Linked DNA regions of Alligator mississippiensis. The protein of the gene in region 2 interacts with the protein of the main gene of each other region in a pairwise test. Links are inferred from orthologs where the notes say so. Each region holds a gene or a part of one and is shown on either strand. Other genes may lie near its edges.

Evidence for each region.
Region 1: the proteins of RFX6 (region 2) and NEDD9 interact in binary tests that used the Homo sapiens proteins (3 or more experiments, as listed by UniProt). The two-hybrid records come from large-scale screens. The link is inferred for Alligator mississippiensis from reciprocal best matches to the Homo sapiens genes RFX6 and NEDD9.
Region 3: the proteins of RFX6 (region 2) and FRS3 interact in binary tests that used the Homo sapiens proteins (3 or more experiments, as listed by UniProt). The two-hybrid records come from large-scale screens. The link is inferred for Alligator mississippiensis from reciprocal best matches to the Homo sapiens genes RFX6 and FRS3.

Annotation. Positions count from the first base shown.
Region 1 is NC_081826.1:132,751,065-132,758,365, reverse strand, and holds the start of NEDD9 (enhancer of filamentation 1), read right to left. Parts: upstream 3,087-7,301; 5' UTR 2,899-3,086; coding exon 2,887-2,898; intron 1-2,886. UniProt on the Homo sapiens protein: Scaffolding protein which plays a central coordinating role for tyrosine-kinase-based signaling related to cell adhesion. As a focal adhesion protein, plays a role in embryonic fibroblast migration.
Region 2 is NC_081824.1:101,816,037-101,823,650, reverse strand, and holds the start of RFX6 (DNA-binding protein RFX6), read right to left. Parts: upstream 3,054-7,614; 5' UTR 2,968-3,053; coding exon 2,856-2,967; intron 1,776-2,855; coding exon 1,619-1,775; intron 1-1,618. UniProt on the Homo sapiens protein: Transcription factor required to direct islet cell differentiation during endocrine pancreas development. Specifically required for the differentiation of 4 of the 5 islet cell types and for the production of insulin.
Region 3 is NC_081837.1:38,889,300-38,896,797, forward strand, and holds the start of FRS3 (fibroblast growth factor receptor substrate 3), read right to left. Parts: upstream 3,083-7,498; 5' UTR 3,041-3,082; intron 2,692-3,040; exon of another isoform or gene 2,582-2,691; intron 2,507-2,581; exon of another isoform or gene 16-2,506; intron 1-15. UniProt on the Homo sapiens protein: Adapter protein that links FGF and NGF receptors to downstream signaling pathways. Involved in the activation of MAP kinases. Down-regulates ERK2 signaling by interfering with the phosphorylation and nuclear translocation of ERK2.

The DNA.
Region 1 (7,301 bases), on a different chromosome or scaffold from region 2:
TACGTAATCACCTTCTAAGCCAAAGCCCTAATGAATCGGAGAGGAGAAACCTTACAGAGCAGGGTAGAGCTCTGCTGGTAAAGAGGCTTATCATTTCATACTCTCACAGCAGGCTGAGACTACGTGTGAAATATGATCTCCTCACTACTGCAGAGTTGTTTCTAGCCAGGGAAGGAGATGAGGAATTTTAGGGACTGTATAATTGTGCAGGCTTGTCATTTAGCAGTCAGCACACAGCATTCCTCATTCATGACCAGTGAGAATGTATTTAATGCTAAAACAAACAATAATTTCCACCAAGTGAAATGGCCATTCTCATGGTTCCTGTACACTCCTGTATTAGTTCTTATACTTTCCTATATTAGTAAGTACATAATATTCTTTGTGTGCAAGTCAAACTGTCTTCAGACTTGTATCGAATACAAATAGGCTAGAACAGGAAAATGGAAAGGGGGGTGGGAGGGGGTGGGGCTTAGATCACTGGCCTTTACTTAGCCCAGTTATAAGTACTGAGTTATCCAGATCAGAGCTTCCCAAGTTATTTTGTATTGGGCTATTTTGGCCTTGTATGACCCACATCATTGGCACCTGTTTGCCTGCAACAGACTCTGGGGTACAGCTCATTAGGGAAACAGGAAGCAGCTATAAGGGTGGGACCCCAACTTTCCTAAAATTAGGGTAGGTGGGGTTGGACTGGACTCCTCTGTATTGCCCCAACAGAATGGGTGGGTGCATTTGTGTCATTAATATTGTATAGATTTATATTCTGATAGCAACAAGAGTTTCTGTTCTGTGCAGGTTCATGCAGCACATTTATCATTGAAGGAGCAGGGCTCCATTATATTGGACCATGCACAAATAGAATAAAAAGATGGTCCCTGCTTGGAACAGCTTAAATCTAAGGAAGTGTGTGTAATGCATGTGATATTTCTAAATCACCTTTTTATTGAGTTTGAAGGGGCTTTTTTGGCAGGAAAACTAAAATGTTCCTTCCCTCCCTCCTTTTTTTCCAATCACACAAGATTACCATATGTCTGAGCAGTAATTTAATGCTTCAGTACCCTGTCCAGGTATTTAAAAGTCAGCATAATACTATTATTGACACATCAGCTTTTCATGTGCACATCTCTTAGCAGAACCTTATTTTAAAAATGATTAAAAAAAGCTTTTTTTTAAAATAGTAAAATATGGTTCTAATGGCCAAAAATACAGTTGATTTCTTGCTCATAACCAGTTAAAGGAAACCTGCTGTAAAGTTGCGTATTGCTCACAAAAAACATATGTTCGTGAAGTTTAAGAAACAGGCTGATCTTTTTTTTTTTTTTTTAAGGAAAAAGATAAAAGTTTATATGCCAAAAAAATGCTAAACATCACAAAATGTGTATTTACGTAGACATATCCACTGGTATTAATTTCCTTTTTGATAGCAACAGTGTTATGCAGGAGTTCCTGGAACTAACTGCTGTAAATAGGAGGAGAATTTATCCCATTATCCAGGTATGTACAGTGATATAGCAGCATCAGAAAATTACAGAAAAGCATGTTCTCTTTTAAATTCACACAACATTAAAAATTACAGAATCCTTTTCCACACCATCCTATTACAATTCTTTAGTATTTAAGGGTTCTTATTTTGCAATCCTAAATCTGGAGCAATTCCTTTTGACTTCAGGGCAATTATTCAAGATCTTTCTCCTGGATATGCAAAAGCAGTAGTGAAATTCCTGAAGAACCCACCCACGCCTCAGTCAGGCTATTTTTTTTCCTGATGAGGTCCCAGTCTGGGTTACACATCAATACGATATGTATCTGCTAAAGATGAATCAAGTTCTCTTTCTCATAAAGTTCTTGTTTCCGTGGCTGAAAACAGAAAGGATTTTTACAAGTGTCCAGACGACTTGAAATACAGCACATGCACTATTCTGCCCGTGTGTTCCAGGCTTGCAGCTAAGAAAATGCCTTATGCTTTCAGACAAGAGCATTACATTCACAATATCAACCTCCCATGAGGACTTTAAGAATTCTAAAAGATGATGGTTACAACTTGTATCCCTAAAAGATGATAGGTACATTTTTACAGTTCCCTTGAAAAACATATGGCACAATCAGTCAGAAAGAAGATTCATAGATTCATAGATTCATAGATGTTAGGGTCGGAAGGGACCTCAATAGATCATCAAGTCCGACCCCCTGCATAAGCAGGAAAGAGTGTTGGGTCTAAATGACCCCAGCTAGATACTCGTCTAACCTCCTCTTGAAGACCCCCAGGGTAGGGGAGAGCACCACCTCCCTTGGGAGCCCGTTCCAGACCTTGGCCACTCGAACTGTGAAGAAGTTCTTCCTAATGTCCAGTCTAAATCTGCTCTCTGCTAGCTTGTGGCCATTGTTTCTTGTAACCCCCGGGGGCGCCTTGGTGAATAAATCCTCACCAATTCCCTTCTGTGCCCCCGTGATGAATTTATAGGCAGCCACTAGGTCGCCTCTCAACCTTCTCTTGCGGAGGCTGAAAAGGTCCAGTTTCACTAGTCTCTCCTCGAAAGATACTTTTAAAAACTATTTTAGAACAAATGAGTCTGAAACTTGACATTCCTATCTACTCGGAGCCAGCACAGTATCTGTGGCAACTGAAAGAAATCAGATAGAGTTTTCTTTGAAACTCTGACAGCCTTAAAAAAAAACAGAACTCAGTGTAATTCAAGAAAAAAAGTTCTTTATATCCTTTGATTCTAGGTATGGAAAAAACTGGCATATCCAGTTCTCTTTTGTCTTGTACTGGTATGGAAATGTCACTCAGAGTCCATATGAAACTAAAAATGTAAACGTTCCCCTTGCACACACACACACTGAATAAGAACAAAATCTTTTTAAAAAAGCCATTTGCCTCACCTTATACTTCATAATTGCAGATGTATCTGGAGTAGTTCTGTGAAACTAGACAGAATACTCTACAATCTCACACATCTTCCTTTCCTATGTAATGTCTTCAGAAGTGAAAATGAAAATATCCCCAGAATTGAAGGCGGTTTTCCAGTCTGAGTCTGTGAACTCTTAGAGCCGCTAAGTTTCCAGTGCATCTGAGCTCATTGTTGTGATTTGCTGCAACTGGGCTGCGCTGCTGATTTGCATAGCTTTCCACTATTGGCTAGAAAAGGAGATGGGCTGGGACAAGATGACAGTGACCCCTCCTCTTTTCCCAACTCCAGAAACACTACCCTTCTCCTCACCCCGCCAAGCCCAAATCACTAAACTAGACATGATTTTCCACCTCCACAGAGTGTGTGGGGGAGTGGAGAGAGAGAAGAGAAAAGAGGAAATCTTTTAAGATTAATTCCATTTTTAAAAAAAAAAAACCAGTCCACAAAGTGAGGTCAGGCAGTCCTGCTTCCTGTGACCTAGCAACTCCTTCATAACCCAGTTTCATTTCAAAGCCATTCACCTCACAATCTCCACATGAAATGAATGCGGGGACAAAAGGTTTTCTGTCTCCAGTCCGCTTTTTACTCCTCACCCCTGCTGATATCTCTTTTGGTTGCTGTTGTCTTTTTGTTCCTCTCAAGGTTCACAGTGCTCTGACTGTCCGTTTGAAACCAGCTGGGCAAATACTTGCTCTGACAGTGACCAGGCATTACAGTGCTCTAAGTATGTGCTCTGGACCAGCCCAAGATTATGGTGGTGATAATTGCTGTAATAGTCAAATATGCAAAGCACTTTACCAACAACAGTAAGTGCCCTATGATATCCAGATATGAAACAGCATGAGGAATATTCAGATATGATATGAGGAAGAATGTTAAATTAGAAATCTTGTCCAACTTTATCCTAACCACATAGTTGGTTCAATAAAAGATATTGCCTTAAGAAATCCCTGCCTCTTGCATAATTTCTGATATTTAGGCATTATACCAGATACATACTAGAAGTGGTATAAATTAGTTTTTCATGTTAAATTTGTACCACGTATTTTTGCCTGTTTGCATCCTCTGTAATCCTTTTGCCGTACTAATTCATTTGAGGAGGGCTTCTTTTATTAAACACCATTTTTTTCACTCCTGCCTTTCTACTTAGTGAAATGGTCTGTTAATGTTCCCATTGTTATCTCTTGAATCAAAATGCTAAATATTCACTTCGCATGGGAAAGGCATGTTGATTCCATACTGATTAGACACCAGGGCACAAGTAGGCTTTAATGATCTACATACCCAGTTTAACCTGGGATAGTAGTATGATTAGTATGATTTAAAAAATGCAGTATTTACCTGTGATTAACCTACTGATAGGAAAGAGAAAGGAAAGCAAATGTGTAGTAATTTAGTATTCATTGGGTGTGTCTACACATGAATTTACGTGGGCTTAAATTTAATGCGCTTTATCCTAAGGCAATTTAGGCACATGTTTACACGTGGAGGCCTTAAGGCACCTTAATGTGGCTCGCTGGGCAACCTGCCCTGGTCAGCACTCTGGACAGCCCCCGGAAGCCCGTGGCAGTGTAGCTGGGTGGTGTAGCCCAGCACTTGCCAAGTGGGAGCCTCCAGTCCCCCCGGAAGTGGTTGGTCCACGCCTAGCCCCAGCCGTGGCTCCAACCCCCTCCCCATGTTCCTGCCTCCCCAGGATCGGAGGGCAGCAGGCCAAAGCTGAGCCCATGGGCCCCACGCTGCCACCAGGCACCACCAAGAAAACACGGTGGGTGCTGTTCTGCAAGGCACAGACACTGGAACTGGAGCAGTGCTTCTGGTAGCAGCAGTCTCTGTTGGTGTGCGGTAAGTCAGCAGAGGGCCTAGGAGGCATGAGGGCTTCTGGCAAAGCACAAGGGACAGGCCACACTATGACTCCCTGCAGGGGAAGTGGGCAGAGCCTTTGCTAGTTCCTCTCCCTCAAGGCAGGTTTGCTGGCCGGGCAATGCAGCCCTGCAGGGGCAGGACTCCTCACTCCCTGCCCGGGATTCAGGTACCCTTAGAAGCCTGTGCTGGGGCTCCTGCCCAGGACAGCAGATGGGCTGGGACTGCATCTGCCCCCCAGTACCTGGTACAGCTTTTGCTGCTTCACCCACCTCCATCTCAGGCAAATGCCTAACCTCCATGCTGGACACTGGGTGGAAAAGGCAGTGTCAGTCCCTGGGGGCTCTGCACAGCTCAGCCTGTGTAGGCTGGGTGCAATGTGGGTAGAGGCTCAGCTCTCTCCTTGGCCTGCCTTATCCAAGGCTGAGCCTCTGCCCATGTTGCACTCAAGCTGTGCCACGCAGAGCCCCCGCAAGTTGACACCACCTCTCCCACCCACAGTGTCCGCACAGAGGCCAGGTGCTTGCCCAGGATAGAGGTGGGTGGAGCAGGGAAAGCCATGCCAGGTGCTGGGGGCAGACACAGTCCCAACCCACCTGCTATTCTGGGTGGGAGCCCAGTGGAGGCTTCTAAGGGTGCCTGAATCCTGGGTGGGCAGTGAAGCATCCTGTCCCTGCAGGGCTGCATGGCCTGGCCAGCAAACCTGCCTGGAAGGAAAGGTATGGGAGAGCTGCTAGCAAAGGCCCTGCCTATGCTGCACTGCTCCCTTCCCTTGCAGGGAGTCACAGGGTGCCTGTTTCTTGGGCTTTGACTAAAACCCTAAGTAATCACACCTACATTTGGTAATTGCTTTATGCAGGTATTAAATTTAGACATGATTAGCCTAAAATTATCGTTACGGTGCATTAAGGATGCACACATGTAGACCCCATGCCCTTAATGTGCCTTAAAAATGGCTAATGTGCCTTAAATCACCACGTGTAGATGTGCCCGTTGTAACTGAACCTTCTAATTCTGCTTTGATGAATGCAGTCCAAGCACTATCAAGCTTTGAGTGGAACAGACTCCAGAAAATTAGATCATCTGCTTATTTTTTGGCCAACTTGAACCTTGGCCAGAATTTCTAGGTCACAGATGGATTTAAACTCAGATTGCTTCTAGAGATCTAAGGAAAAAAAAAAAAGAACTAGAGTCTATCATCAAATATTAAAGACAACTGTTTCACAGTGCACTAGAACTGTACTAATTCTCATGTGATTAGTCCACTAGAGAGCCCTCATATTACTCAGACTTCATGACTTATATGAAGTATAACAGTGGTGTTCAAGCTGTCTTCCATGGAGCCTATTGTTCCACTATAGGTCATAGAATCATAGTCATAGAAAATTAGTGTTGGAAGGGACCTCAGGGGTCATCTAGTCCATGGAGACTGGCCCCAGCAGTGGTAGCGGGGGCATGAAGCAGGGCAGGGAGCTGCTCTGGGGCCAGGCTGGGATCTTGCAGTGGTGACAGTGTGGTCCAAAGCCAGGGCAGAGCCGTGATCCGCAGCCTGCATGCTCTCGGCAGGGGCGTGCGGGCAACGGATCTCTGGCCCGGCTCCTTGCAGCAATGACAGCATGGTCTGGAGCTGGGGAAGAACTGCAATCTGCTGCCTGCATGCCCCTGCCCAGAGTATGCAGGTTGTAGATCATGACTCTGCCCTGGCTGTGGACCATGCTGTCACAGCTGCAAGATCCCAGACTGCCCTAGGAGCAGCTCCCCGCCCTGCCGCGTGCCCTGCCCGCTGCTGCTGGGGCCAATCGCCACAGAAACCCTGGCTCCATGCTATCACAGAATGGCTGCTGCTGGGGTCTCCATGGAAACTGGCCCCAGTCCTGTGGGCAGGGACATCTGGGAAATAGAGTCCAGCAGCAGGCCAGATCCGCCACTTTGTCTAGGTTCATCGTCTTTGGAACCACCCTGCAGGTAGTTAAAGGCTGCTATCAAATCCCACTCTATCTTCTCTTCTGCAGACTAAATAAGTCCAGTCCCCTCAGCCTCTCCTCAGAAGTCACGAGCCTCAGCCCCCTGACCATTTTTACTGCCCTCCACTGGACTGTCTCCAACTTGTCCACATACTTTCTATAGTAGGGGACCCAAAACTGGACACTACTCCAGATGTGGCCTCACCAGTGCCAAATAGAGGGGAATAATTACTTCCTTTGAGCTGCTGCAACAATCCTACTAATGTAGCACAGTATGCTGTTAGCCTTCTTGACAACCCAAGAACACACTGTTGACTCATATCCAGCTTACTGTCCACTATAACCCCTAGGTCCTTTTCTGCAGAGCTGCTACTTAGCCAGTTGGTCCCAAGCCAGTAGAGGTACATGGGAATCTTCTGTCCTAAGTGCGAGACTTTGTACTTGTCCTCGTTGAACCTCATGAGATTTCTTTTGGTCCAGTCCTCCAATTTGCTTAGGTCACTCTGAATCTTAGCTCTAACCTCCAGCATATCTACTACTCCCCCCAGCTTGGTGTCATCCG
Region 2 (7,614 bases):
TGACAGACACTTGAAAACCGATGATTTGGCATGTTCCAAGAAGAAAACATTTTGGTGAAAAATTGCTAACCAGTGCTAATTCGGATTGTCTATTGATGGATATCAAAGAGAATTCCATAGACTGAAACCACACCTGGTGGCTATTCCTAGATCTTTTCACATTGTAGCTGTGTACCGCTAAGCACCTGGTCCAGTAGGGTATTTCAGCCCTAGCTCATTTCTATTCTTCAGCATTATATTCTTCATGGTCATCAGTAAGGCTTGTACATTACAAACACAACAAAAAATAAAACCCCTCATTCTTTCAAATGGCATAAACACGTGAAAGGAAATGCTGTAGAAGACACAGGATATGGCATGGGATCATATCCCACTTTTTAGGGTAAAATAAATAAAAATCTCAGCACTAACAAATACAACCCTGCATTTGCTCTTATGATTTTCACAGTTAAGGGGGATAATCTAGGTCTACCTCTGTAGTGTATAATACAGTTCCCAATAGTCCAAGGGCACTCTTTACTGAGCAAGAAAGGCAGAGTTAGAGAACTATTTGGAAAAATCATGCCAAAATAAAATGCAGTAAAATTAGCTTTCTCATTAACAGTGGGATACACTGACCAAATGTATGACAGTTCAGTGAAACTATCATAGACATAGCATTAGTGGGTAACTAAGCACATCCTTTCACAAGTTTATGCCTTAATCATTCACCTCTCCATTTCTTTCTAACACTGTTAATGGGCTTAGGTGTTATTGTAGGTGTGATCATTCAGAAAAAATGCAAAAAGCAAGGTTTTCTTTCCAATATTGTCACTTACTTGTTTTTAAGAGAGAGAGACAAATCATGCTTCATGGAAATAAATTGATACTCTGACAATATGCATCATATACTGATTAGTATTTTATGATTTGGTAAACAGAAAGGAATATTTCAATTACAATCTATCCTTTTACTTGATTTCCATTTCAGATGCCTGAATTTACATTCAGCTCTGATAAATCCGTACACAGTGACTTTATTCTTCAATAAGTTTGCCGTTTCATAGAGAGCACATGTAGTGAATCTCATGAAATTATTCTAGTGGATATATTAAAAACAGATAAAGTTCAGCAATATAATCTTTAAGAATTTTACGACAAAAAATTTGTGCGCTACATTTTGAAATAACGATTTTCAAAATAATACCAGAATACATCTGAATCAAATAACAAAACTGAAAAAGTGGTTATGTAATGTAACATGACTTACTGCATCAACCAATATGCACATTCACTTTGACACAAAATCCTGTGTTATCTAGTTTTACTTATGTGACACTAAAAGGCAAGTATCAATATTTTCTTCAAATAGTAGAGTAATTTTCTTTGGGAAAGCTTTCATTTTGAGATTTTCCAACCCAAATATACTCAGACTCTGTAAATAATGAGCATCTTTCTCTCCTCAAAAAAAAAAAAAAAATTAGCAAAAAAACTGTGAAGTAAAACAGGTATGCTCTGTATCTGAACTAGAGGAAGGCAGGGTAGATTTGTATCTTATACATGAACCAAAGTAGATATATGTATCTACTTATATATATATATATGTGTGAATATATCTATAGATGAATAAAAGCCTTACCACTGTAGTGTGAGTTGGGTCTGTTTCTTTTTATCCTTCATGATCTGTGTGATTGTTTTCTTTGGAGACATGGGTTTGTCCAGGGATTTTATTTTATTGCCATGAATATCTGCATCCTCCTCTTCTGAGGAAAGGGTTTCACTGTTAAAATGTATTTCTAGCAGGAAAGGGGGAGGGGGAGAAAAGAACATAAATCCAAGTGTCTCACTGTATTTGTTTATCACAGTTTCTTGTCCTGATATATTTGCCACAGCGCTGATTTATTCTTGTGTTCATTTCCTGTGATTTTACCTACAGTATTTGTGTTTGCAGCTGGTAATATGGTGTGTATAACTATGGACAGTGAGGTGCCTTGGTTCAGTGGTTCTCAACCTTTTTGGCAGAAGGCACCCCTCTTTCAGCTCAAGGCACACTATGGAAAATGCTAGCTCTTGCTTTTCACTCATTTTTGACTACAGAAAAATAATAGAGCAATTCTTCCATTGCAAAGACCTCAGAAAGACCACAATAAGTCAGAATGTTTTTTTAACACTATGGGTTCCTATATGAAATCTCTGGGTTTATCTTGCAAATCATGTTCATGCGCTTAACACTGTGTGGCATCCCACGGCACCTTTGAAAAGCTGTTGAGGTGCCCTGGTTGAGAATTGCTGCCTCTGGCTGAAGTAAATAGCTCTACCTATCTAGGTCAGCTAATGTAGCTGTATGAAACAAAGTAAAAACTTGCAGCATGACAAAATACAAACTATATTGATGTAGCAGTCCTGGCTTGCTCTCTCTCCCTCCCTCTCTGCATCCTGTATCGCTACAGTCCAGATTTGTGGCTAGATGATCTCAGACCGAGGACTCTCTCTTTCTATGTATGTGTGTTATATATGTAGATAGATAGATAGATAGATATATCGTAGATACAGCAGTGCTAGGAATAGATACATGCATACATACATACATAGATGGATAAGTATATTGGTAGACATAGGAGTGCTAGGGCTAGATAGATACATACATACATACATAGAAGGATAAGTATATCGATAGATGCAGCAGTGGACAGGAAGAGAGACAGATACATAGACAGATGGGTAAGTAGATCGGGAGACACAGCAGTGCTGGGGCCACATCCACCCCCATGTCTCGGTGGCCGGGGGCAATGCCGCTGTCCCACCCCGTCCCCGTCTCCTCTGGTCCCCGAGCCTCCAGCCCCGGCCCCGCAGGGCGGCCCCCGCCGCGCTCTCACCTGCCTTGACGCCCGGGGCCAGGCGGGGCTCGGGGCAGAGCCCGTCCGCGGGCAGCGCCAGCAGGTCCTGCGGGGGCGGCGCGGCCCGGCTCGGCGCTGCCTTGAGCGGCATCGCTGGGCAGCGGCTGTCCGAGGCTCCCCGACGGCTGCCGCGGGGCTAAGGCCAGCGCCCGGGCGGCTGCATCGCTCCCGGCCGCCAGGCTGCCCGGCCGGCTGCGGGCTCCTCCCCGCCGCCCCCCGCCTGCCTTTATGCCAGCCCCGGCGCGGCTCCGGCCCGCGCTCCGCGCCCCGCGCCCTGCCCCAGCCCGCCCCCCACAGGCGGGGGAGCCCCCGCCGCGCCCATGGCTCGACTCAGCCCGGCCCGGCGCGGGGCCAGCCCTGCAGCCGCGTTAATGAGTAACCCCTGGAGCTGGGCTGTGTGGCGGGGCTGCCCCCGGGCACCGCTCCCCCCTCACAGCGCGGGCAAGGGGCGGCCTCGGCGCGGCTCCTGCCCCTGCCCGAGCACAGAGCCGCGCCCCGGGCTGAGGCATGGCCGGGGCTCAGCCTGGCCGCGGGCAGCCCCTGCTCGGCGTGGCGGCGCTTCTTCAACCCGCTCCAGTTGGCTGCGAGTTGGGCAGGAGGAGCCTCTTCCCCTTTGGGACATCCTGGGTACGGCTACACATGCTGCGTCTACATGGGCATGCTCGTGCTGCGCAGTAAATGTGGCGCCTTATGCCGAATTCGATACCTGTGTGGTGCGGGTGTTAACTTTGCCTAGGGTTAGTGTGTGTGTGTGTGTGTGTGTGTGTGTGTGTTGATTTGGGACTAACTTTAGCTGTTCGTTTGTAGGGATGCATTTTCATGAAGAGAAGGCTGTGGTGTCAAAGTAAAATGTCAACATGGGAACAAGATGTGTTGATCTTATTCTAATAAAATGCTTTCATCTGATCAGAACGAACATTATGGAGAATGCTGTTACAGTTTAGATTCTGTTTTTATTTCATTGTAGAATGTTAGGAAAGAAGGAAGGAAAATGTGGAAAAGCCAAGGAAGGAAAGAAGGAAATGGAAAACCTAGTTCCTGCCAAGCTCTACAGAGCAGGTCTCTTACCAGGTTGGAAATTCAACCTGATAAAAACATGAGATTCTGTCTTGTGCTGATTTGCATCTTGTACCTGCCCAAGGCAACAATCTTGGTCATTTTGCTTCTACTGTGGCACGGCCAGCGTACTCTAGCACTGACAGTCAGGGCCATCCCTGGGGGGGCGGGGGGTGAATCGAGGCAACTGCCCCAGGCCCCACACTTTGGGAAACCTCACAGAGCCAGGCCAGCTTCGCATCCAGCCGCTCACCACCCTCCCACTCCCACCCTCCGCTGCCGCCAAATCTGGGCCCCACACAGGCTGATTTGCCTCGACCCTGCACCCTGGTCTTCTCTGCTGACAGTCATCATAGAAGTCATATGTTAAGGGTTAATACCCCCTCTAACATCCACCACTCTGACCTGCCACTAGAGGCCTGGCAAGCAGGGGCTTGTTTAGGAGCTGCTAGTCTACTCTGTGCCTGCTCTACTTGCTGACTCTCCAGCAGCAGTATAGGCCAGGGGAGAGGTAGGGGAAGGATGAAGGATGGAGGGTATCAGGGGTCCCCCACTGCTTCCCCACACCACTCAGGTCACTCTCCCACTGCCCAGATTGGCCTATGCCATCCCACTCAGTTGCCCCCCACTGCCCCCACTGTCCTCCTGCTGTCCTGCACTGCTCAAATTGCCCTTCCCACCCCCCCATGCAGCTCTGCCCACATACCCCACAGGACTCTTCTCTGGCTCCCTGCTCCCCACTCCCCTGTAACTGCTGGTGCCATCCTTGGGGTGAGGAAAACTCCTCTTCTCCAGGGGCTGAGCAGCTGTGGCAGAAGAGGAGGAGTACTCTATGGGCACATCTATATATGTGCAGTTAAGGCACATTAGACTGATTTAAGGTACATCATGGGCTCACATCTACATGTGAGCACCTTTAATGCACCTTAAAAATGTCAAATTTAGGCTAATCATGCCTAAATTTGATACCTGCAAAAGCAGGTATCAAATTTAGGTGTGATTAATTAAAGTGCACTAATGCATGTGTAGACGCGTTGAAGTGCATTATTAGGGTGACTTTAGTCCTGGGTCTGCCCAGCCACTAGGGCGTCAGCCAGAGCCCAGCCCCATGGCTCCTGGTAGGCTGCCTCTCCTGCCCCAGGGCTGGGCTGCTCTCTGGCAGCCCCTAGCTGCCAGCTATAAAAGCAACCCAGGCAATCTCTGCCTGTCCTAGCTTGAGCTGCTCCTTGGCCACAGGTGAGTAATGAAAAGGACTGCAGCCTGCTACATTCATTGCCCAGCCCTGAGATTCCCCCCAGGGCTGCTGGCTCTGATATCTATGGCAGCAGGGTGGCCAGCACTTGCCCCTGCTGCTCCTCACCCCCAGCTCTATTTCTTTGCAGGAAGTGTAATGAAGCTCCTCTGCTGCATGGCTCACAGTCTTTGGCTGTGCCCCTGTCCAGGGTGCTGCTGGCAGCCATCCAGGGACAGCATTGCAGGGACAGCCACAGGGGGCCCAGAGAGCTGGTAACCTCATAGCACTCTGAGGCAGGACTGATGTCCAGAGATGGTTCACACGAGGTGGGAGCTTGGACACCCACATTTATAAGACCAAACCAGGTGGGATGCATGTGTGAGGCCACTTTCAGTCATCTTAGCAGTGTCGCATGAAAGTCAAGGTCTTGAAAGCACAGTGGGTGGCTGTGACCACATTTATTTGTCAGTCTGGTCATGCCCAGAAGACCATGCCCTTCATGCGGGAGGTAACTTGCATTTTGGCTCCCTGGGAGACAGACTGTACCCCTGAGAGTGCCACCAGCAAGGGTGGCCTAATCTTGCCTGCTCCCCACCCTGACACCTTCTGTCATATGTCCCCGAGGAGGGGACCTCAGCCCTTCAGTGCCCTGCCCCACCCACCTTCCTGCCTGCTGCATCCACTGGCATTGGAGAGCCCTGCCCAGCAGCTGCTTCACCCTCTGCCCAGCCCCACACCCTGCCATGAAGAACAGCCAGCCTGTCACTGCCAGCTGCCAACTTTTCCCTGGGGGGGGGAGGGGGAAGGGGCACCTGGCCAGGCTCTGCCTGCTGCACAATACAGGCCATGGATACTGGGTGTAGCCAGACACCATCACTGACAGGGAGCCCTATGCTGAGCTATCCCTGGACACATGGTAAATCGTGCCACTGGAGAGGGCCATCCCAGTCACTGCCCCTACCCCTGCCCCTGGCCCCTGCCCATACTCCCCTTGGCCCCAGAGTCCCCCCCATACCATGCAGAGAGGTGGGACACAGTTCAAAACTTTATTGAGCAACCTGTGTCCCCACAGCTGGGTGGGCACAGGCCTCTCACACACCGAGGAAGGCATCAATCCCAGAGGCAATGTCTTCCTTGGCAGCAAGGTTGTGTAGCACTGCAACAGGTGGCCGTGGAGGTTGTGGGCAGCCCAGGTTTGCCACCCACAATGTCATACCTCAGGGTCCCAAACCAGGAGGGCAGGTGTGCCTGGGGTACCAGGAGGATCAGCAACAGCAGGGCATAGTGACTTGGCTACCCCCCACCTGCACAAATAGCTCACTGCACACCACCTGAGGTACATGCAGCAAGGGCATACTCAGGGAACAGCAGTGGCATGGGGGGTGGCAGCCTCATGGCACCACCCTGGAGAGGCCTCCTGTGGAGAAGGCAGGGGTACAGCCAGCCCCTCACCCTAGTTGTCCAGGAGTCCTGTGTGCCCCAAGCCTGGGTGCCATGGACTAGGCAGCAGTACAGCAGAGCAGCTGGCTTGTAGGGAGAGGGGGGGAGTGGGGCCTAGAGCTGTGGCAGCAGGTGCTGTGAGAAGCCTGGCCTGACCCACCCTGGGAAGGGGGCAGAGGAGGCAGATGCCTGCAGCCAGCACCCAGAGGCCCGCCAGCCCCAGGGGAGCAAGCAAGGCTGGGAGGCTTGGCTGGCAGCCACCTGAGCACAGCTCTGCCTGGACAGCTTTCCATGGTCCCTGGGAACCCACGCATGGCCGACCCCTGATCTGAGGCCAGGCAGCACACAGACTCTGGTGCAGAGCATCTTATCTCTGAAATGTTGCAAACTCACATAAAAGGCTTCTGTCTCTTGCCTCTGCAGGACCAACATCTGGACATGGGGGAGAGGCCACAAGGCCCTGTGGGAATGCTGCCTCAGGGTTGCTGCCACCCACTGCTGGAGCCGCTTAGACATGCTGACTGTCAGCAGTGCACAAGGGACTGGACTTCCCTGCTCCAGTGGCTGGTGGTGGTGATGGAGAACTGGGCAGCATAGAAGCAGGCATGAGAGGCATGGGAGCTGGCCTGGCAGCAGAAAGCTATCACCTGCAAGACCACCCAGGAGGAGGCACAGGGCCAGATGCATCAGGAGCACTGGGCCCAGCTGGAAGCCCTGAAGCAGTGCTGCATTGAGCTGCTTCAGCAGCAACTGGTCAGCCAGGGCCACCCAGTGGAGACCATGTCCATGCCTTCCCACTCCTGGCCCCTGGCCCCGGCCCTGCAGGGTCCCTGGGTCCCTCCTGCTGGCCCACAGCAGGCCCTCACCTGGCCCTTGGAGGAGGGCCTCCACCACTTCTCACTCACAGGATCCTCTGGCATTCACCATGGCCCCTGGACCCATAGTGGAACTGTCTATAGCCAGGGTCCAGAGACTACATAGTTTTCAGTTTGGGAAGAGGGTTTTTTA
Region 3 (7,498 bases), on a different chromosome or scaffold from region 2:
GCTGCACCCGCTTACCCGTGAACGAGCTAGACCCAAAGGCAATATATAGTTGACTGTTAAGGAATTAGCTCCACATTGCTCATAAAGAAAGCGAGGCTGGGAACACAGATGGAGAAATGAATCGGCACACAGAAACACAAGCACGTTCTGCCTCATTGGGTAACTGCAGACAACTAGAGTCCTCAGCCAAGTCGGAGCGTTGCAAAGCCTTGCCGGCAGCTTCACGTTGTCCCAACTCCTGCAACTCCAGCAAGAGCAAAAGGCTGTAGCCCACTCTCCTATGGGGTCTGGGAAGCGCAATCACATTCCTCTCCCCACCACCCACCCCCAAATGTCAAGAATTACACAGGTTCCCTGCTCACTTCAGGAGCCTTTCAACCCCAACTTGTTTGTTAAGCCCTCTCCATAGCCCTGTTCTAGTTAACTTCACAGACTTTCGCTGCAAACCAAGATCCAGATTCCTCTTCCATCTAATCTGGTCACCGGTGGCACGGCCTTCTCCTTCTGCCATCAGAACCATTTCTATTGCCCCCGGCCTCTCTAGGTCTCCATCGAACTTCCAAGTTTTGTACAAACCATCTATTTTTTCCCACCTTTTCCTTCCTCTCCTACTTTTTTTCTGGATCTTGGCTCAAGCTCTGGGAACTGTTTGCAGTGGGGGGTTATAGTTTCCACTGGAAGACTGCGAGACTCCCTGCCTCGAAGATCCTTGAAGAGCCAAGTCAACCGGTCATTGCAGCCTCACTGCTGAATATTTTGCCAATGTCTATTCCATGTAAATTCCTAGGTTAGAACTTGAGTCTCAGTACACACTTTTTGTGACTCTGTTTCCATGTCCAGATGTGCCAACTACCCAGATCCCTTGGGATGCATACACTACTGAACAAAACCCTGGCATCCTTGCACCACGCAAGTGCCTTTTGCATTTAAACACTGTCCAGACCATTTCTTGCAATTTCCTCATGCTTAATTGTCTCTGCTTTCTACAAAAAACAAACCAGCTGCATTCCTTAGTACTATGAATACCTGAAACTGTTCAGCTCAGCCAAGAAAATAGCATTCCCCTCAGAAGATGCAGGTTCCCATGCACCTGCCTGCCTCTCTTAAGGGCTACAGTGGAATATGCTGACCTCCCACCTTACAGATGGAGTCTGAAGTCACACCTGGCAAGTTTTCCTGTGACATCCATTTTCTACTTATGGGGGTGAACAACAAGTTAAGTCTTGCAAAATAGGAAGTAGGCATCCAACCTGCATTGACAGTCCACAGAAGTTGTGCGCCTAACTTCTGGGAGTGCTTTTCAAAACCTCTTCCAAACATTTTTAAGAAAACAAAAGGAAAAAAATAGCCACATAGAAAATTCCAGCTTTTCCAGTTGCCTACCCAAATCTCACCTGTTTTTATTGGGAGCTTTTATTAGATCCCTTATAGGTGTCTAACTCAACAACTCCTTTGGTCACCAACAAAACCCTGAGAAACGCTCAGCAGAGGCTACCCAATTTACGTGCATGCCGACTAAGCGCATAATTCCCCCGCATAACAAAACCAGTCCTAATACGTGGAAACTGCGTAAGCAGTCAGCAAACACTGGCTAGCCATGTATCGGTTAAGGGCACAAACCTCTTCAGTGCGGAGAAAATTTTAGCTCCACTGAAATTTGCATCTTAATGGCATTCTGGTTAACGGCACTTTGTAGCTACGACTAAGTTTAACCGTGCCAGAAACGGAAAAGAATAAGCAGCCGTCAAAGAGCTCTTGATTGGACACATTTTAGACTCGGGGAGTCGGCCAGTTGTGGGGAAGCCAAAGCACGACAGCGCAACGCTGCCCAGACGACGGGAGCCCCGAAACGAGGCTTCGAATGGCAAGCCTAGCTAAAACTGACTATTAAAAGCCTGGAGTCTCAGGGGAGCTGCCAATACCCAGCACCGACGGAGCTGCCCGTGCGAGCAGCGCCGTTCCTACGAAGTCCTGACGAGCGCTCGCTTCAGCAGCGCTCGTTTTCCAGCCCCGCGGCCGGAAAACACGACTCGCCCTCGTGGCAACAGCTCCACCTCCTCTCGCCTTGCCTCGACCGACCCTCCTTTCCCGCACACCCCTTTCCCCCCTGCACCGATCTCCACCCGATCAAACACGTTTCCACGGCGGGAACGCAAGCGGAGCAGACTCCCTTTCGCGCCTCTCGAGGTGGCGAAGGCGGCCGCCGGATTCGCCGAGCGAGACGCTTTAGACTCCCCGTAAAAAGCAACCGAGAGCCGAGTAACGCTGGCGTTTTCCTAGCGTTTGTTCCTCCTGGAGGGGCAACCGGCCGACTTGCCGGGCGACAAACCTATCTTCAAATACAAAACAGGTGCCGAACTGTCCGGCCCGCGTCCCCCGTGCGCACCAGGGGGCCCGGCTGGGCGGCAAGGCCACGGCAGCTGGTCCCGACCCCCGGGTGCTGCTTGGGGCAGGGCGTCGGGACCAAGCGCACGTGGCTCCCTCCCGCCCGCCGGGCCGGGGTGTACGCCGCGGCCCGAGGAAACCCCGCACACGCGGCGCTCGCGGGCCGGGGGGAGCCGGCCTCGAGGGAGGGCGGTACCTGCGACGCTGCCCGGCCTCCGTCGCCGCCGGGACCCGCGGGGCCGGGCCCAGGGCCGCCGCCGCCCCGCTCGGGCTCCGGGCCCCGCCAGCGCCGCTCCCCCCGCGCGGGCCGGGGTCAGGGGCCGCCAGGAGCAGCGAGTGCGGCGCCGCCGCCTAGAGCGTCCCCGGCTGGAGGACCCGGCGGCGCGCGGCGGGGCCGCCAGGGGGCGCGGGGAGGGGCGGGGCCTGGCGGGGAGCGGGACGGTGACGTCTGTGTGACGTCACGCGGAGCCCGCCGTTGCCGGGCGCGCCAGGCCCCGCCCCGCCCCCGCGCTCCCGCTCGACAACTGCCCCGAGCCGGCGTGTGGGCGGCGCAGCGGGGCCGGCGCTCGGGACCCCCCCCGCCAACCTCACCTGCCCCAAATGCCGTACTTCTCGTCTCAGACCCCTCATTTCCTGTGCCAAACACTTCACTTACCTAGACCCCTCACTTTCTGTCCCAAATACCTCACTTCCTGTTCCAGAACCCTCACTTCCTGTCCCAGACCCCTCACTTCCTGTCCCAGCTGGACCCAGCCATTGGAGCAGCTGTCAGCCTGTCCTGCCCGGTGGGCCGGCTCTCGCCCTGTTGTCTTTGTCCCAGGGGTCAGCTCTGTCCCCCGCGGCCTCCTCGAGGGAGGGTTGCCGTAGGCCAGGCCAGGCCCCCCAGGCCGTAACAAACAGGCCCGCGTTAAAAGGCGGCAGACAGTGGGTGCTGAAGCCTGGGCCATTGCGAGGCGGAGGCTCCGTAGCGACCCCTTTCCCGCTACAACGTGGCTGCATTTAGCTGCCACCACCGCTGGCCACGAGTTGCGCCCGTCACCGACGCGCCATGTACAAAAGACTGCCTCCTCGTCTCGTTTCGTGGCAGAAGCGGGGGCCGTGTGGCAGCAGAAGCGTTCACGTCGTGACCCCTGATGCCACCGGCTAATGCCCCAAACCATGATTCTGGGCCTACAAGCTGACCAACTATAAGCAATCATAACGCCTTGGGAGACACGGGAAGAGTTTGGTTTTTTGTAGCAAGGGAACGTCCATAAATCCCTGTTGACTTTCTCTTGCCATTTACCATTTTGCAAGCCCTTCTCGTGTGCCCCCTTGAGCGTCTCTTTTCTAAGCTGACCAGTCTGTCCTCGTACGGCTCTTCTCTGGACCTCGGGAAGGTGCTGTTTTTCCTGCCGTCAAGAAGCGAAAGAGCTGACGTAGTTTCTGAGGGCAGCCATGAGTCTAACGAGCGGGTTCTTGAGCCTAAAAAGGTTGAGAACCGCTGCTGTAGAAACATGCGGGGCGATTATCCGCCGAGTGTTGGTTCTCTGCCTCGCTGCAAAGTGCCGGCAGCTGCTCTGCGTCCAAAGGGAAATTTCCACCAAACCCCTGAGAGCCTCCGAGGTGTTTCAGTATTCAAATATAGGTGGGGAAAGGGGGAAGGAAGGCACACAGTACCCCCAGGGATTGCTGCCCTCTCCCAAGCCAGCCACCTCCTGTGTAGGGTTCATCCAGTGGTTCAACAACAGCAGCAATGTGAGCACGCACTTGTTGACTTTCCCCCCCACGCCCCGGACAAGCTGTTTGTTCCTGTACCTTCTTAGCAGGGGTTCACCATTGCTCTTAATGTGACTGCCCGGAGTCCTGATTCGTGACTAGGGCTCCTGGAGTCGACGGTAATACAAACAATAATTATACTCCCTACATGCATGTTTAAACATGTGCTAACCAGGGCTTCCCTGACCATTATGAACAGCGAGGGCTGAAGCAGACAGGGTAGAGTTGCACTTATAAACTGAGCGAATCAGAGATGTGTAAGCAACAGCTCGCTTCGTCCGATGCCAACACCAAGTGTTAGTGTATCGTGAATTAGGATATTTTATGACCGTGCTAGCCAAGCTGCAGGGTTAAATTCTCTCCTGAAGTCACCAGAGTAGCAGAGGAGAGTTTTAAGGCTAACTCCTGACATCAGGTGGATGCATGTTTTAAACAGGCTTTGAACAGGGCTTTTGGGTAAAATACATTGGTTCCTTCCAGTGGGGAACCAGTGCAAGACTGCTACGTGCCACAAGGATGGCAATTGCTTGTGTGTAGAAAGGAATTGATTCGCCAGGGAAATGCACCCTGTAGGAAGGGCTAACACCAGGACAACCTGGATCCCTAACAGGACGTAATGCATCCTCAGTGCAGCTGGGACAGTTCAGAGTCAACTTCAGGAATAGTTGGGCACAGTCTTTTGACAAGGACATTAGTTCTGTACAGCTGACACATTCTTTCCTTGCTTATCCCTATTGTTTTGTCTTGTCTACAACACTGGCTTTTTTGTGTGCGCGCAGCATCTAGCACAATGGGGGCCCAATCCTAGTCGGGGCCTCCTGTCACGATTGAAATGCAAACAACAACAATCTGTTGGATTAAAGATTAGGTTGCAATTTAGGTCCCCTTTGCGCTAGGACTGCAACGACTCACGGGCCCTCCTCATATGTTTTCACCGTTCTAGCATGGCTTCTGTAACGGGCTTAGACAACAGATTGGGTCTGTCTGGTTAGGTGTTGCGACTGAGCCCTCCAGCCCAGATGGCCTTGCTCAAAGGATGTTTCCCTCTCCGGTGTGAATAGACATAAATGAGGAGAGAGAGTGAATGGCTCAGGAGGTGACAAAGGAAGCAGCAATACTACAGCTTGTGTTGCAAATTCACAGAGGAGGTAAAGAGAGGACAGGGGCCCCATGGTACAAAGTCCATAACAAGGAGCAGGCAAGATAACACTGCTGTGACTAACTTCACACCAAACCCAAACAGAGCAGATTAACTGTCACTGAGCCAAAGTTGAGAGAGTTCCCAAGAAACAATAGTTCCCTCTGGAACGGCCTCCTCGCTGAATTACTTCTGCCTTTGGGGCTCCTTTTGCTGCTTTGGGTGGGTTTGCAGGGGCCCTTTTCTGTGCCCTGCACCTAGACACTTTCATACATCCCCTCCTAAGTTCATTTGGGACTCAGGGCATGGGCAGATGAAATATCAACACTGCTGTAGTTTGCATTGCATCAGCTTAAAAAAAGGAGCGGAGGAAAAATACCAACTCCAAACTGGCGTCATGTCACCCAAGCCAGTGGAGAAGTATCCCTGAAAGAAGCACTATCCCTCAACTATAGTGTAAGTTGTACCAGGGAGGTATAACTGTCAGTGTTCATCTGAGGTAGCTGTTTGCCAAAGGCAAACAGGCTATTGCTTATTCCCACTGCTTATTGGTGAGGCATAGCAATAAACACTTACTATTTGACCTGTCCCAGTGTAGCAATACATCTGTCCGTCCCTGATCCCAGTATAATTTACTTAGATATACAAAATACCTCAAGACAGGTGTAGGTCTGTCCATGCCCGGGTGGATGCAAGGATACAAATGCTATGGAACATAAATCGGTATGGCTATGAGAAAGAGGTTGTGCTAGGTTTTCTTCTAAGCTTAGCCACAAACTTTCTATATGAATTTGGTCAAGTCACTTAACTGACATCATTGTGTCACCTACCCATATTGCAGTAGAAGCCCTAGCTTTGCCGTCAGGTATTGTACAAACGTGTACCTTGACAACAGCTCGTGCCCCATAGAGCTGAGTAGGCAGATGTAAGACAAGAGGCAGATATAATAAGCAGATGGAGAGGAGCAGAAGGCATCTGAGAAATTATTATGAACAGCTTGATCACTAGCAGTGACACAGCCCATCTGCCCAACCGTTGTTGCGGTTTCTGCAGGCATCACGGCAAAAGTGAGTTTTAAGGACGGTGCCCCTTCTCTGTGCCTCAGTGTCCCCATCTCTAAAATGGCCTATAATCATCCTTGCCAAGACATCTCAGAACTGCGTACAATCTACACGCAAGAACAACAGTCACAGCTAAGAGAATTAAGAGAACAGAGGGAATGAAGCAACATATGGAGGGGGAGACACGGATGATAGTAGAATGGGAGGTGGTAAGAAAAAACAGATATAGTGTACAGTTCTTTCCCTTGCAGGGTTAACATATCCCTTGAGCTCCATTGCTCATTTCCCTCCCTGCCTGCTGCTCTGATTCCCTGCCATTGGCTGGCTCTGTAGGTTTAAGCTAAAAAGCTCCGTAATTAGAAGCTCGGCTGACACAGATCCAGTTTCCTGGGCAGGCAGATTAAAAAAAAAAATCATCTCCCTAACTCAGATGTTTTCCTTTCGCTTTGCAGCACAAAATTTCCAGCATTCGGCTGTGATTCTTCTTCCTGTGACCAGTCGCTGGAAGCAGGTGGAGAGGGGTGGAGAAGCTGCTGGCTGGCTGGGAGCTGGGACAAGACAGGGACGGGAAGTGGCAGCCGGGTCTCGTAAATTCAAGCAAATCTGTGCTCTCCGGGGATCTCACCCATAGCTGCGCCCCTGGCACGGTGGGCAGCGGCAGGTAGGTGACTTGGAGCGGTGATTTGTAGGGGCCTGTTCCTTCAGGGGTGGCAGACTCAGGGCTGTGAAAGCGAAGAGAGCAGTGGCAGTCTGGCATCAAATAAAATGCCGGGGCCAAAAAAAAAAAAAAATACGGGAGTGGAAGAGAAATGGGCACTCCCTGCTTGGGAAGGCACTGAACATATGGGGGCAGGGGAGGGGAAGCCTGGGGAGGGGCCTCTCTTTGCTTGCTTTCTCCCTTTAACAATGAAATTGTGTGGGGGGAGGAATATATGCCCCCACCCTCGTCTTCAGAAAGGCCCCTTCGGAGCGTGAGACTGCGTCTGCTCTATCACTGCCAGATCTCTGCTGTTCTTGGTTACAAAACCATTCGTGGGAGCTGGAGAGCAGACAGGTGGATGGACTTTTCAGGCTGCGTTCAGGAGAAGCTCTTTGAAAAAAAAATCTCCATTACGGGAACTCGTCTGCAGAGGGGTTCACACAGTAGAGCGTCATA